2 linked regions of the Macaca mulatta genome follow. The protein of the gene in region 1 interacts with the protein of each later gene in a biochemical or structural test. Links are inferred from orthologs where the notes say so. Each region holds a gene or a part of one and is shown in the gene's direction. Other genes may lie near its edges.

Region 1 (7,281 bases):
CTTAGCTCCCTAGTGGGTCTCCTTCCAGGGGCAGAAATCTGGGTGTGACTACCTGGGCTCCCCTGCGCCTGTCTGGCTTGAAGACATCACTTTTGTCCTGGTGGTGGTGGGGAGGCCAAACCAGGAGCACAGAATCAGCGGAAAGGGACTTTTTAAAAAATTATTATTATTTGCAGACAGGGTCTCACTCTGCCACCCAGGCTGGAGTGCAGTGGCAGAGTCCTAGGTCACTGTAACCTTGAACTTCTGGGCCCAAGCGATCCTCCCACCTCAGCCTCCCAAGTAGCTGGAACTACAGGTGTGTGTCACCATACCTGGCTATCTTTGTAAAATTTTTGTAGAGATGGGGTCTCATCATGTTGCCCAGGCTGGGGAAGGTACATTTCTTAACCCTAGGGCTGTGTATACAGAAATCCATTTTATTACTTTTTAAACTGTGCATGTATCTGACATACACTCTTTCCTGTCTGCATTTTTTCACATTTAAAATAAAATATTTTAAAGGGGCCAGGCACGGGGGCTCACACCTGTAATCCCAGCACTTTGGGAGGCCAAGGCGGGTGGATCACCTGAGATCAGGAGTTCGAGACCAGCCATGGCCAACATGGTGAAACCCTGTCTCCACTAAAAATACAAAAATTAGTTGGGCGTAGGGGCAGGCGCCTGCAATCCCAGCTACTTGGGAGGCTGAGGCAGCAGAATTGCTTGAACCCAGGAGGCGGAGATTGCAGTGAGCCAAGATTGTGTCACTGCACTCCAGTATGGGCGACAGAGCAAGATTCCATCTCAAAAAAAGAAAAAAAAAAATAGAGTATTTTAAAGGAAGGGGAAGCAGGCTCTGGTTCCCACACAATCCCCACTCAGTGACACTGGAGCCACCCCTGGCCATGCTCTGCCATCAGAGAACCAAAGCCAGGTCCCTTCAGCCCTAAAGTGGCCATAACCACATGTATCCCCCATGAAATGTCCGAGCATGGTCCAGTTCTGGCTGAGCGGGAGAGGCAGCACAATCAGAAGGCTCCACAGGCATCCACACCCCTCCCTGGGGCTTTCCAAGAGTATCTGAGATGCCTGTAGGGTGGGAGGGAGACATCCTTCCCCTAAACAGACAACCTGCCGCAGCTTCACAGAGGTGAGATTTCAGAGGGGAGCCCCAGGCAGAAAAAGGGACTGAATTTGGGGGCAGGAGGGTCACCACTTCTGGGGTCCTTCGAAGCCCCCGCAGGTGCAGCCCTGGGGGAGAACTCCGACTATCGCAGCCTGCAGTGGCAGTGAGGATGCCCTGCCCAAGGGGCAAGCAAGGTAGGTGATGGCGGCAGCAAAGGGGCGCAGGAGGCCTGGGCCAGGCCCAGTGACCCCACCCCTCAGGCCCTGCCCCCGGGCCTCCCCCTGGACAAATCAGGTTGATTCCCGACCTCCAGAATACCCAGAGAACTGTGCTGCACGGACGCTCTCCCACAAGCCCAATCCCTCACAGCTGCACAAGGGAAGAGGCAAGAAGACCTGAGGGTGGTGGGCAGAGCCAGGCCTCTGTTCCCTTCTGACCAATCCAGGAGGGCTTCCTGGGAGCGGGGTCTCCTCCGCCTCAACTGGATCTCAGCTGAAAGGCCAGCTCATTAGAGACCGCTGTGACCTCCCTTCTGGGCACCACCCCCACAGCCCCGGCCTCCCCCCGGGGTCCCCAGGCCACCTCCTCCTTTGCTTCATCTGTAGCCAACTCCCCGGCATGAGCCCAGGCATGAGCCCGCGCGAGTCACTGCGGCCGCCGGGGCGCCGAGGCCAGTGCGGGGACATAGCAGGCCTCCCTCCTTCGGACCTTCCGCCGAGGCCCCGCGAGTGCCACAGGTTTCCACAGGGCCGGGGCACACGGACCCGCGCAGCCTGGGAGCCAGGGACCCCAATCCCAGCGAAGGGGCGCCTCGCACCCCAGTCCTCACGCGGTCCCCGAGGGCTCGCGGTGACTGCCGGGTCGGGGAGGAGGAGGGTGGCAACCCGGCCCCGCCGCTCCAGTTGCTGCAGCAGCCCCCCGGGCCTCAGTCTCCGAATCTGCCAAACGGGCGTGTGGCAGCCACAAGGTGTCTTTTCGGAAGACTCACAGGCGCAGGCGCAGACGGGTGCGCACCCCTAAGGCGCGCGCGAGCTAGGACCTCGGCCCGGGGCTGGGTGTCCCCGGCCCCGCCCCCTGCAGCCCTTCTGGAGCCAGCGCGCCTGCGTCGCGGGCGCACGGGGGGCGGAGCTCCCGGCGTCTCCGCCTCTTACCCGACGTTCCCCGCGCCCGCAGGCGCTGACGTGGCCGCCGTCAGAGCCGCCATCTTGTGGGAGCGAAACCAACGCCTGGCTCGAAGCAGCAGCTTCTGAGGTGAGGGCGAGGGGCGCGGGTCGGTGTGGGCCGCACACAAGTTGGAGCCGGCGGGGTCTGGGGACTGGCCTCGGGGCGACTTGAGGTTCGCGAAGGGCACCTCGATCCCGGCGGCGGCGGCGGCGACAGGGCCGGGCCGGGGGCGGACGAGGACGGGCCGGGCTGAGGCTGGGGAGTCGGGGCTGGGAGGGCGGGCGGGTCGGTGAGCTCCTCGCGCCCCTCACAGGTTCCCGGAGTCGCCCGCGGCCCCTTGTCCTCCTCTGCCAGTCCCTGCCCCCGCCCGTCGCCCGGAAGTCAGCCGGGACGCCAGGCTCTTCTCCAGGAAACCTGGGCTTCCTGCTTCCCTCACCTCTGCCCCTCACGTTTCCCGAGGCCGCCCGCGCGTGGAGGGTTGGGGTTAGCGGTCTCGGGGGCCGGTGGGGGTTGTGGGGCCTCCTCCACCCGAGTACAGGCTAGCGAGCGGCATCCGGGCGGACCGCTGCCTCGGGGACCGGGAAACTGAGGCTCAGGCGGCCCCAAGACACCGTCAAGGTCACGTAGGTGGTGGGGGCTTGCACCTTCGCCTCCCGACTCCATCCAGTTCGTGTTTCTTCTGAGGAAGGCACTGGGTCAGGGGCGGTGAGAGCGAGCGGGCGGGCAGTGGACAGGGACCCTGCGCCTTTCCCTGTCTGCTGAACGGAATGCGTGGACCTCCGGGGAAGCCCAGAGTGCCTCCCTTCACAACAGTGAGACGCGATTTGGGGTCAGTATGAAGTCTCCGGTGGCTTCCAGAGGGCCGGTCGATGTTCGCTTTAACTCCAGGGTGGTTTCCTTGACGTTGTCGGCAGTAGATAAGAAGGCCTCTTTTGAGCTGGTGAATCTTTAACTTGCCTGCGGAACGACCTGCTCGTAGACTCTAGGCCGCAGAGGCCGGCCCCAGCGCTCTCTCGGGGCACAGCCTGGGTGGTTACGGCTTGTGAGATTGGGTCTGTACAGCCGTGCGCACCTAGAGTGTTAGATAACCATTCCGACGGCACTTCCTGGCGGACTCCCTTTCCGTCCAGGCAGCCAGTTGCTGCTTTGCAGGAATTGAGCAGAAATGCGCTCGGAATCGCGGGCAGAAAAAGAAGGGAGGTCGGAGTCTTTGGATGGTCCCCGAAGTCGCCGCCTAGTTTAGAGCTGTAGAGTTGGTGCCACTGCCCCTATTGGAGTGGGCAGTTGTATTTCTTGTTTCAGAACTAGTGGTCAGCAGTTTTCTCTGCCGCCGGTTGTTGCAAGGCTGGTGGTTCTGGCGTTTTCCGCAGTGTGTTGGGAGGAGTGTGAGATGCCGAGGTGCGGTTGTGTGCGGCCCCTGTGGCCCTCTGCTTTTGCGTTAGCCATTGTCTAACACGTGTGACTGCATGGATGATGTCCTCATTTAATTTGAATTTTCACCAGCACTACCAAGGTAGCCAGAACCATAAGGTCCTGAAATGCCGTACTATTAGCTGGGTCCAAAATTGAGAAGAATTGAGTAGTATAAATGTTAGTATACACATCTGATTGGCCACATTGTTAGAGGTGTGTTGTCCACGTTTTCACATGTTGGTAGACCGGAGAATATCTGTCACTTGTCTTTAGGTGTATCTTGTTGAAAATAAATCCAAATCATTGCAGCAGTAGGAATATGCTGTTGCCTGTCAGGCAGTTTTTCAGATTTGCTAGTTGAAAAAGATTTGAAACAGTTGGTTTGGACAACAGCTGAGTCACAGAATGACTGTGAGTGAAAAGCAAAAACTGGTTCTGTGCCCCTCACAGTTCTGATTTTGTACATCATGTAGTCTAGCTATGCGCTGTACCTCTTGCACAATATGGAGAGGACATTCAGACATCTTCACCTGCTCATCTGCCCCTACAGACTGGACAGGCTTGAAACTATAGCTTCGAAGATGCATTTGGCCTTTCATTTTTCACTTCAGTAAAATTTAATATGGACTGTCAGCTGCTGCAGTGATCATAGAAGTAGACCTAACTAAGAGAAAAAAACCTGTTGTGCAAGTTCACACGCAAAGTATATGACTGTGGTTTCAGAGAGTTGAAGCAGTTTTTTCTAGATTCTTCAAATTAAATGTCTCATTGGTGTATTTAAACCAGCTCTTACTCACAGGCCATGCTCACCAAGCTTTTGTACACACTTCTTCCTGAGCTGTGACCATTCTCTTGAGCAAGAGGCTGCAGCCAGCCTGGGCTGGCAGGCCCATACTGTCTCTCATAGGCATTCTGTCCTCTCCCCCTGACCTTTCACCTCGGTAAACTCAAGAGGGTGAAAGGAAGTAGAGTGCACTGTCAGAGGTAATTGGGAGAGAAACAGGAAAAGGCCTTGCAGTGGGGATCTTAAATTATGAGAACTTGTGTTTTCTGTGTTGTGCCTGCTCCTCATTGGTGTGGTTGGTTGGTAGGGGTATCCTGCCTGTAGCATCTGAAGTGGTCTTTTGGAAAAGGTTTAGCCCCTTCATGTTGGGATTCCAGGATTTGCCTTCATCCTCAGGTTCGTATTTTCCTGTGGTTGTTATAAACTCTTTAAGGCATAGTTGCACTTATCACCTTACAGCTGTGCAGGTGCCCAGCACCGTCTTGGAAGGTAGTTTCACATTCTCAGGTGGGTCAGATGACCTTGTTAGCAACTTGACAGACATGTCCTGGATGTTTTTTGTTCCCAAGAGGCTCTCAGGTCCTCCCCCAGGGTCCTGTCACTCAACCATCTACAGGGATGAGAAGACAGTAAGGCTGGCTGATTAGCCATAATGTCCTTGACTAATCCTGGTTTCCTGGTTCTCACACAGTGGTAACAAGGGCTTGCAGCCGGTTGTCAGCCAACAGACTGGGAAAGGTGGTGCTTCTTACAGGCCCTGATAACAGGAAAAGCCTAAATGACATCAAGAGAAGAGACAGGGAAAGCATAAAAGGCAGATTTTCACAGGCACAGCAATTGAGAATGATTCTGTTTAGAAGGCAGACGTTCTCCCACACCCCGGAGGCCCAGGGCTCACTGTTAGTGTACAGCATGAAGTGAACGGGAGACTTGATTCAGTCCATGAACATTTCAGGAAGTTAGAAGTCTGTAGTTGTGGATTGCAAAATACATATCTGGCCTGCCTCCCATTTCCTGCCATACAACTACTAAAATACTTGGAATCTCCAAAGTGATGATGTCTTTTTGTACCCTAATGAGTTGACCAGTGACGGGCAGCCCCTACGAAACTTCAGGGTAGGGCTAGTCACGGGGCCAAGGTAGGATTAGAGGGTTTCAGCCCCACCCTCCAATTTCCCCAGAGTGGAGAGGGACTGAAGATTGAGCTGGTCACCAGTAGCCAATAATTTAATCAATCACACTAATATCATGAAGCCACACTTTTGCCTTCAGTAGTTAACAGCATCTACAGCCCCGTGTTTCCACATTTGTACAAAGGAATGTTCAGACTGAACCACACTTAAGTACAATTCTGAAATAGCATGAAATTCCTTGTTGATGGGAAATACCCAAAAGGCCTGCCTGGGCTTTCAGAGAGCTTCCAGAAAGCTGAATTCATGGAGGTTCCTGGAGGGTGGCACGCCCAGGAGGGCAAGGTAGCTCCGTGTCTCTTCCCTCATACCCCACCCTATGCATCTCTCCATCTGTATCCTTTGTAATATCCTTTATGAAAAACCAGTAAACTTTAGTGTTTTTCTGAGTTCTGTGAGCCACTCTAGCAAATTAATTGAACCCAAGGGGAAGGAGTTATGGGAACCCTGATTTATAGATGGTTGTCCAGAAGCACAGGTAAAATAACCTGGAGCTTGTGATTGCCTCCAGGTGGACAGTGTCAGGATTGAACTGAATTAAAGGACACCTATCCGGTGTCTGCTGCAGAACGCAGAACTGGTTGCTTACTTGGCATGTGTGGAGAAACCCCTGCTCATGTGGTGTGAGAAGCGACCTGTGTTATAAGAGTGTGTGAGAAACTGAGTTTGGGTTTTCCTGTGTCCTCAAAATAGTGTGTTTTGAAAATCTTCTAGGCAGAATGTATTAAAATAGTTTTTACTCCCTGAAGGGATGCCAGCAAGCTAGAAAGATTCATTTCCAAAGGACTTCCAGTGGTAGCATGGCTAGATATGAGACATCTTTCCATTTGTGTCACACAGCAAGTTATTTTTGCAGTACCATATACACTATACGGGAAACTTTTAAGTATTTTATAGGTTTGATTTAGGTATAAATGGTCAAGAGGACTATTGCTAGATATCATCTAGACTTATCCTGAGGATTGGGAATGCAGGCGGTTAGATGTGCCTGTGCTTCGTACCTTCTGTAGATGGGAATGCAGTTGCTCACTCACTAATCAAATTTATTGATTTATATTTAAAATACTATGAATACATCTGGCAGTTTTGGTGGTGACATATTCCTTAAAATATTTGTATTAACCAGGCACTGTGGCTCACACCTGTGTAGTGCAATCTACTTGGGAGGCTGAGGCAGGAGAGTGGATCACTTGAGCCTAGGAGGTCAAGGTTGCAGTGAGCTGTGATCATATCACTGCACTCCAGCTTGAGTAACAGAGCAAGAATCTTAGCTCTTAAAAAAAAAAAAAAAAAAAAAATGTATACCTACTCACCAGCTGAGGACCTGGGGGCAGGTTTAGAAAACAGATTTTGAACATGCATCCCTCTTGTGGTGTCTGACATCACTGAGCTGCCACACTTTTTTGCCTTCAGCATCTTCAACCCCATTTTTCCACATTTTTACAGTCAAATGAATGTTCAGACTAACCCACACGTGAGTACAGTTTTTAAACAGCATGAAATTCCTTGTTGACATGATAGGTTTTTCGTGACAAACTTAATTTTTAGGGAAAGCACATCTGCAGATGTATACAGTTGATCTTCATGAGCCCTAGGGGCCTGATAAACATTCCTTTGCCATT
Region 2 (7,211 bases), on another chromosome or scaffold:
TTGTATTTTTAGTAGAGATGGGCTTTCACCATGTTGTCTAGACTAGTTTCGGACTCCTGACCTCAAGTGATCCGCCCACCTCAGCCTCCCAAAGTGCTGGGATTACAGGCATCAGCCACCACACCCAGCCAGAATCTACTCTTTTAACCAGTACACTGAGCTTCTGAAGCATGTCCCCAAGCATCGATGCCCTCAGCCAGTTTGGGGTGGCCAGAGCCGAGGCTCTGGTCTTCTAGTCAGAGACCCTCTAGTCAAGAGCATCCTAGCCAAGGACTCTAAGTGCCCGTAAGTAAAGCTGTACAAGGGCTGTTTCATCATTCCGTGAAGGTACCACAATGTGAGAAACGTTAGGTTTCTGATGACACATACTGCCCGAGTTACACAGTCTTTTTTTTTTTTTTTTTTGAGACGGAGTCTCACTCCGTCACCAGGCCGGAGTATAGTGGCACTATCTCAGCTCACTGCAACCTCAGACTCCCTGGTTCAAACAATTCTCCTGCCTCAGCCTCCCAAGTAGCACGCGTCACCATGCTCAGCTAATTTTTTGTAATTTTAGTAGAGATGGGGTTTCACCACGTTGGCCAAGATGGTCTCGATCTCCTGACCTCGTGATCCACCCACCTCGGCCTCCCAAAGTATCGGGATTACAGGCGTGAGCCACCACGCCCGGCCTTGTTTTTCTTTCAATGAACTTTATTGAAGCAAAAATGTACATACAATTTAATGCACACATCTTAACGTACAGTTCCATGAGTATTAACAAGTGTATGCTCCCATGCAATCACCACTCCTATCAAAATATAGGGCATTCTCATCATCCTGGAATGTTCCCTCACGTGTCCCTTTACAGGCAATCTTTTCCTTACACCCTGCCACAGGCAACTACTGATCTGATTTCCATCACTATAGATTGTTTTTGCCTTAAATTTAGAAGTTTATGACCAGGTGTGGTGGCTCACGCCTGTAATCCCAGCACTTTGGGAGGCCAAGGAGGGTGGATCATCTGAGGTCAGGAGTTCCAGACCAGCCTGGCCAACATTGTGAAACCCCATCTCTACTAAAAATACAAAAATTTAGCTAGGCGTGGTGGCCGGTGGCTGTAATCCCAGCTACTCAAGAGGCTGAGGCAGGAGAATTGCTGGAACCTGGGAGGCGCAGGTTGCAGTGAGCCGAGATCCCGCCATTGCACTCCAGCCTGGGCAACAAGAGCAAAACTCCCTCTCAAAAAAAAAAAAAAAAAAGAAAAGAAAAAATTAGCAAAAGGCCGGGGATGGTGGCTCCCGCCTGTAATCACAGCACTTTGGGAGGCCAAGGAGGGCAGATCACTTGAGGTCTGGAGTTTGAGACCAGCCTGGCCAACATGGTGAAACCTGTCTCTACTAAAAATACAAAAATTAGCAGGAAAGCCCTTGAACCCAGAAGGGGGAGGTTGCAGTGAGCCGAGATCGTGCCACTGCTCTACAGCATGGGCAACAAGAGTGAGACTCTGTCTCAAAAAAAAAAAAATAAATAAATATTAGCAAAAGACTGAATAGGCACTTTATAAAAGAATGCAGGCCGGGCGCGGTGGCTCAAGCCTGTAATCCCAGCACTTTGGGAGGCCGAGACGGGCGGATCACGAGGTCAGGAGATCGAGACCATCCTGGCTAACACGGTGAAACCCCGTCTCTAATAAAAAAATACAAAAAAAAAAAAAAAAAAACTAGCCGGGCGAGGTGGCGGGTGCCTGTAGTCCCAGCTACTTGGGAGGCTGAGGCAGGAGAATGGCGTGAACCCGGGAGGCGGAGCTTGCAGTGAGCCGAGATCTGGCCATTGCACTCCAGCCTGGGAGACACAGCAAGACTCCGTCTCAAAAAAAAAAAAAAAAGAATGCATACAAATGGCCAAATGGCCAATCAGCACATGAAACATGGTCAATATCATTGATCTCCAGATAAATGCAAATCAAATTGCAATGGTGTGCCTATGACATCCATTCAATGGCCAACGCTAAAGATTTAGAATATCAAATGTTGGCTATGCCATAGAATAACTGGAACCACCATACACTGATTTTGGAAATCTAGACTGTAACAACCATTTCAAAAAAAATCGTGTGATAGTTTCTTATAAGTTAAACATACACTTACATGATCCAACAACTCCACTCGCTAGTTACCCAAGATAAAGGAAAACTATCCACACAAAGACAGGGATGTTTACAGGAGCTAAAACAACGGGCAAAACTGGAAACACACATGTCTATCAAAAGAAGAGAAAAATAAATCTGCTTTTTAAAAAAGATTGAAATCTCTTGTATTTTAATACCCGAAAAAATTTTATTTCCCCCCTAGACTGTCAATTCCAGCTGAGCAGGCTCCGTAACCATCTTATTTACTACCATACGCTCAGTGTCTGGCAAGGAGTAAGCGCGCAATACATGTTTGGTGAATGAATGAAAGAATGCCCGCTTTCTTACACTAATGGGTTTGTAGCCACCACCCCTCGGGCCTTTTACGCCCTCATTCCTTCCAGGTACAAACGCTATCTGGGCTAGGTCGAACGTGGCTCGCAGCGAGTCTGGGAGAGGGGCACCCACCGGCAGCTCCCGCAGCGGAGGCGCGTGTCCCCGGGGGCCGAGGCAGCGCCCGCGGCTGGAGGGGCCCGGGGCGGGAGCCGAGCGGAAGGATGCGCGCAGCGCGGGGTGCCCCGGCGGGCGGCGGGCGGCGGGCGGCGGGCGGCGGGCGGCGGGCGGCGGGCGGCGGGCGGGCACGCTGGGACCGACGGCGCGGAAAGCCCCGACGCTTTGCAGCACTTGCCGGTCTCACCGAGAGAGCTGCGCGGCCCCGCGGCCCTGCAGAGCACAGTGCAGCCCCCGGGCTCCCGGTGGTGCGCGGGGCGGCGGGGCGGCGGGGCGGCGGGGCGGCGGGGCGGCGGGGCGGCGGGGCGGCGGGGCGGGCCGAGGGCGGCGGGGGCGGGACAGGACAGACGAGAATCCCGCGGAGGTGAGGCCGGGGGCCGTCCCGCCCCCGAGGGCAGGCCCTGAGCCCCAGCCCCGCCCCGGCCTGCTGGGGCGTGGGCTCCGGCTGCGGCTCCGGCTCCGCTCTGCTCGCTTGGCTCCGGAACCCGCGCGGGCGCTGGCTCCGTCTGCCAGGGTGAGGCGGCCGGGAAGGGGCGCGCTGGGGTCCCCGGTCCCGGGAATCGGGCGGGGACGGAAAGGGCTCGGGCTGCGGAGCCTCCAGACTCAGTCGCACGCTCAGATTTCGGGGTTTCTCCCCTCGGCGGGGATCGCGTAACTTCCTCATTCCTGCCTGGACCCCTGCCCCCGGCCCGCCTGGCCTGGCGTAAGCCCCGTAGCCCCGCGCTCTCCCGACCACCCGGGGCCGCTTCCCCGCGCAGCTGCTGTGGCGCCCCAGGTCGGAGCCTTCCGGGCCTGGCTGGGTGTTCCCCGGGTCTCTGGTTACGGGACGGGGCGGGGGTCGGGGAGCGGGACTGGGACTGGGATTGTGGATGAAGGACTAAGATAGCGGATGGGGGCTCGAAGGGGTCGGTGGGGCGTTGCAAACTGGTCGGTCGTCATCAGCGGGCGGTCAGGAGTCTGTGGGGGAAGAGGAGGACCTGGAAGAGATGGAGGACCTGCAGGAGTTAGGATGGGGGGGCGGGTGCTGCAGGGCAACTCGCCTCCCTGAGGATTCCCTATATTCCTAGGATGATGGCGACCCCTGAGAGCCTCTTCCCCACTGGGGACGAACTGGACTCCAGCCAGCTCCAGATGGAGTCCGATGAGGTGGACACTCTGAGGGAGGGAGAGGACCCAGGTACACAGGGAATATGGATGGCCCTCGGGGAGGAGAGGCGTGGGGAGCCAGGGGGCTGGGGCCTGTGGGGGTCTACACTCCTCGACTTTCTTTCTTCCCAGCCGACCGGATGCACCCGTTTCTGGCCACCTATGAGCTTCAGCCTCTGAAAGTGCACCCCTTGGTGTTCGCACCTGGGGTCCCTGTCACAGCCCAGGTGGTGGGCACCGAAAGATACACCAGCGGATCCAAGGTGGCCAGACTGGCCCCAGGGAGGGGGAAAGGGAGGGCGGCCTGGAATGGATCCAAGGTGGCTGGGCTGGCCCCAGGGAAGAGGGAAAGGGAGAGCTGGCCAGAGTGGGGAGGCGGGGACTCAACACGGGGGTCATCCATTCAGTTCCTCACACCCCTAGGTAGGAACCTGCACTCTGTATTCTGTCCGCTTGACTCACGGCGACTTTACCTGGACAACCAAGAAGAAGTTCCGTCATTTTCAGGAGCTGCATCGGGACCTCCTGAGACACAAAGTCTTGATGAGTCTGCTCCCTCTGGCTCGGTAAGGGGAATCAGACTGAGTCCTGTAGAGGGCAGGTGCCCCCCACCCTCCTTTCTGCCTGTCTCACCCCCAGGCCACAATCTTTCCTCCCTGCAACTCTGGCCACTGGGCCCCTCCCCTGACCCCAGTTACCAGGAAACTTTCCCTGCTCAGCTTTCCCTGTCCATGGTTCTGTGCCAGCATCTCAGCTGGGCGGGATGCCCAAAATACTCTTGGCAGCCTCACCCTTTTCTAGTCTCCATTCCCAGGGTAGGGGGCCTTCCTTTTGCCAGACTCTAGGACTTTTGCTTGGTTTTTGTTTTTGTTTTGGACAAGGTCTCCCTCTGTCACCCAGGCTAGAGTGCACTGGTATGATCTTGGCTCATGTCAACCTCCTGGGCTCAAGCAACCCTCCTACTTCAGCCTCCCGAGTAGCTGGGACCACAGCCACCACACCCAACTAATTTTTGTATATTTTGTAGAGATGGGGTGCTGTTGTGTTGCCCAGGCTGGTCTTAAATTCCTGAGCTCAAGTGATCCACCTGCTGCAGCCTCCCCAAGTGCCGGGATTCCAGGCATGAGCCACCACACCTGGCCACCTCCAGGCCTCTTCTTTTCCTCCAAGCCCCATCTCCAGTGTTTTCAGGAACCAGAGCACCCAGCCTCCCAGCTCTTACCTGAACCTCATCCATCCTTTCCACAGTTTTGCCGTTGCCTATTCTCCAGCCCAAGATGCAGCCAACAGAGAGATGCCCTCTCTACCCCGGGCAGGTCCTGAGGGCTCTACCAGACATGCAGCCAGCAAACAGGTGGGACCAGATGCCAGGTCCTCTGGGAAGGCATTGGATGTGCAAATGACTCTGGTCCCATCTGTCTCTTTCTCTCTCATCTCCACTTTAGAAATACCTGGAGAATTACCTCAACCGCCTCTTGACCATGTCTTTCTATCGCAACTACCATGCCTTGGTAAGGTCCAGGAGCTGATTTTAGATGTGGAGCAGGATCATCAGACCCTCAGGGGGAGGAGGGCCAGGGGCCCCAGGGTCTGAGGAGCTGAAAGCCAGGTATCTCCTCTGGCCTTTTGTTTTCCTCTGCAGACAGAATTCCTGGAAGTCAGTCAGCTGTCCTTTATCCCAGACCTGGGCTGCAAAGGGCTGTGAGTGTCTGGCCCCCTTCACCCAGGCATCTGTAGACATCCCTCTTAATTTCTCCCTGCCTGAGAATGGGGCAAGCAGTGCAGGGTGGGCTGGGGGTCTGGAGTCCTCATCCAGCCTCTCTTCCTGATTGCCCCACAGGGAGGGGACGATCCGGAAGCGCTCAGGTGGCCACCGCGTTCCTGGCCTCACCTGCTGTGGCCGAGACCAAGTTTGTTATCGCTGGTCCAAGAGGTAAGGGCTATGGCCGAGCAGCTGGGCAGTGGGTGGGGGTGAGGAATAAAATTTCGAGGGCAGAGAGGAACACAGGGAGCCCTTCTGCTCTAGGTGGCTGGTGGTGAAGGACTCCTTCCTGCTGTACATGTGCCTCGAGACGGGTGCCATCTCATTTGTTCAGCTCTTTGACCCCGGCTTTGAGGTGCAGGTGGGGAAAAGGAGCACGGAGGCACGGTACGGAGTGCGGATCGACACCTCCCACAGGTGAGGCCTCCCTGGGGTGAGAGACACCGGCTGAGTGGTGAGCCAGCCTGCAGCCCTGCTGGGGGTTGAGTAAGAGAGACCACAGTAGAGAGGAAGGCTGTTCCACCTCCCGGGATCCGGACATAGTTTTGAACCAGGGAACTGGTCTAGCCAGATGCTTGGGACTGCTCTTAGAGACTGGGCCCAGAGAAAGGGGATTAGTAGAAGCCCAGGAAAGGAACTGCTGACATAAAGGAAATTCCATTTGTTCATTTGTTCATTCAACAAACCTGAGTGCCTGGTACAATACTGGTTGCTGATACAATACTAGGCTCCAACTGTGAGTAAGGTGGATACGGCCAGGCATGGTTTCTCATGCCTGTAATCCCAGCACTTCGGGAGGCCGAGGCGGGCGGATCACCTGAGGTCAGGAGTTCGAGATCAGCCTGACCAACATGGTAAAACTCTGTCTCTACTAAAAATGCAAAAATTAGCCAGGCGTGGTGGTGCTGGCCTGTAATCCCAGCTATTTGGGAGCCTGAGGCAGGAGAATCGCTTGAAGCCAGGGTGCAGAGGTTGCAGTAAGCAGAGATCGCACCACTGCATTCCAACCTGGGGGACAAGAGCTAAACTCTGTCTCAAAAATAAATAAACAAATAAGGCAGATACATACACGCCCTGTCTCTGTGGAGTTGTGATTAGGGACCAAGGGAGGAAGTGAGAAAGAAAGGGGAGGTCTCTGGGCAAGATCATATGTATGGAGGGCGAGGATTTATGGTGCATCTCATCGTTCCCATCCAGGTCCTTGATTCTCAAGTGCAGCAGCTACCGGCAGGCACGGTGGTGGGCCCAAGAGATCACTGAGCTGGCACGGGGCCCAGGCAGAGACTTCCTACAGCTGCACCAGCATGACAGCTATGCCCCATCCCGGCCTGGGACCTTGGCCCGGTGGTGAGACACTGACATCCCTTCTGTGGCCTTCTTGACCCCCTGTCTCTGAGTCCTTCACCCTCTCTTTTATCTCCTCTGAACCCTTCTGACCTCAGCGATCCACCCTGTGACTTCCTTAATCTTCTTGATCTTTGATATCTTTAACCACATTGATCTCTCTGATTTCGCTCTGACCTTTCTGACCCTCAGACTTGGTCATCTCTTCTGACCCTTGACGTCTGTAACCTCCTATAACTTTTTAAACCCCCCTCTACCATACTGACCCTCTCTGTTCTCTATGATCTTCTCAAATCTGATTTAGTCCTTCATTTAACAAACATTTTCCTTTTTTTTTTT

The links. The genes of interacting proteins can lie anywhere in the genome.
Region 2: the proteins of ARF1 (region 1) and PLD2 form a complex in vitro, tested with the Homo sapiens proteins (2 studies listed by BioGRID). The link is inferred for Macaca mulatta from reciprocal best matches to the Homo sapiens genes ARF1 and PLD2.

Annotation. Positions count from the first base shown.
Region 1 is NC_133406.1:85,833,742-85,841,022, forward strand, and holds the start of ARF1 (ADP-ribosylation factor 1), read left to right. Parts: upstream 1-2,318; 5' UTR 2,319-2,359; exon of another isoform or gene 2,360-2,444; intron 2,445-2,520; exon of another isoform or gene 2,521-3,039; coding exon of another isoform or gene 3,040-3,101; intron 3,102-7,281. UniProt on the Homo sapiens protein: Small GTPase involved in protein trafficking between different compartments. Modulates vesicle budding and uncoating within the Golgi complex. In its GTP-bound form, triggers the recruitment of coatomer proteins to the Golgi membrane.
Region 2 is NC_133421.1:6,340,947-6,348,157, forward strand, and holds the start of PLD2 (phospholipase D2), read left to right. Parts: upstream 1-3,081; 5' UTR 3,082-3,323; exon of another isoform or gene 3,324-3,395; intron 3,396-3,687; 5' UTR 3,688-3,688; coding exon 3,689-3,797; intron 3,798-3,898; coding exon 3,899-4,029; intron 4,030-4,189; coding exon 4,190-4,332; intron 4,333-5,014; coding exon 5,015-5,120; intron 5,121-5,211; coding exon 5,212-5,277; intron 5,278-5,408; coding exon 5,409-5,467; intron 5,468-5,606; coding exon 5,607-5,699; intron 5,700-5,792; coding exon 5,793-5,945; intron 5,946-6,725; coding exon 6,726-6,875; intron 6,876-7,211.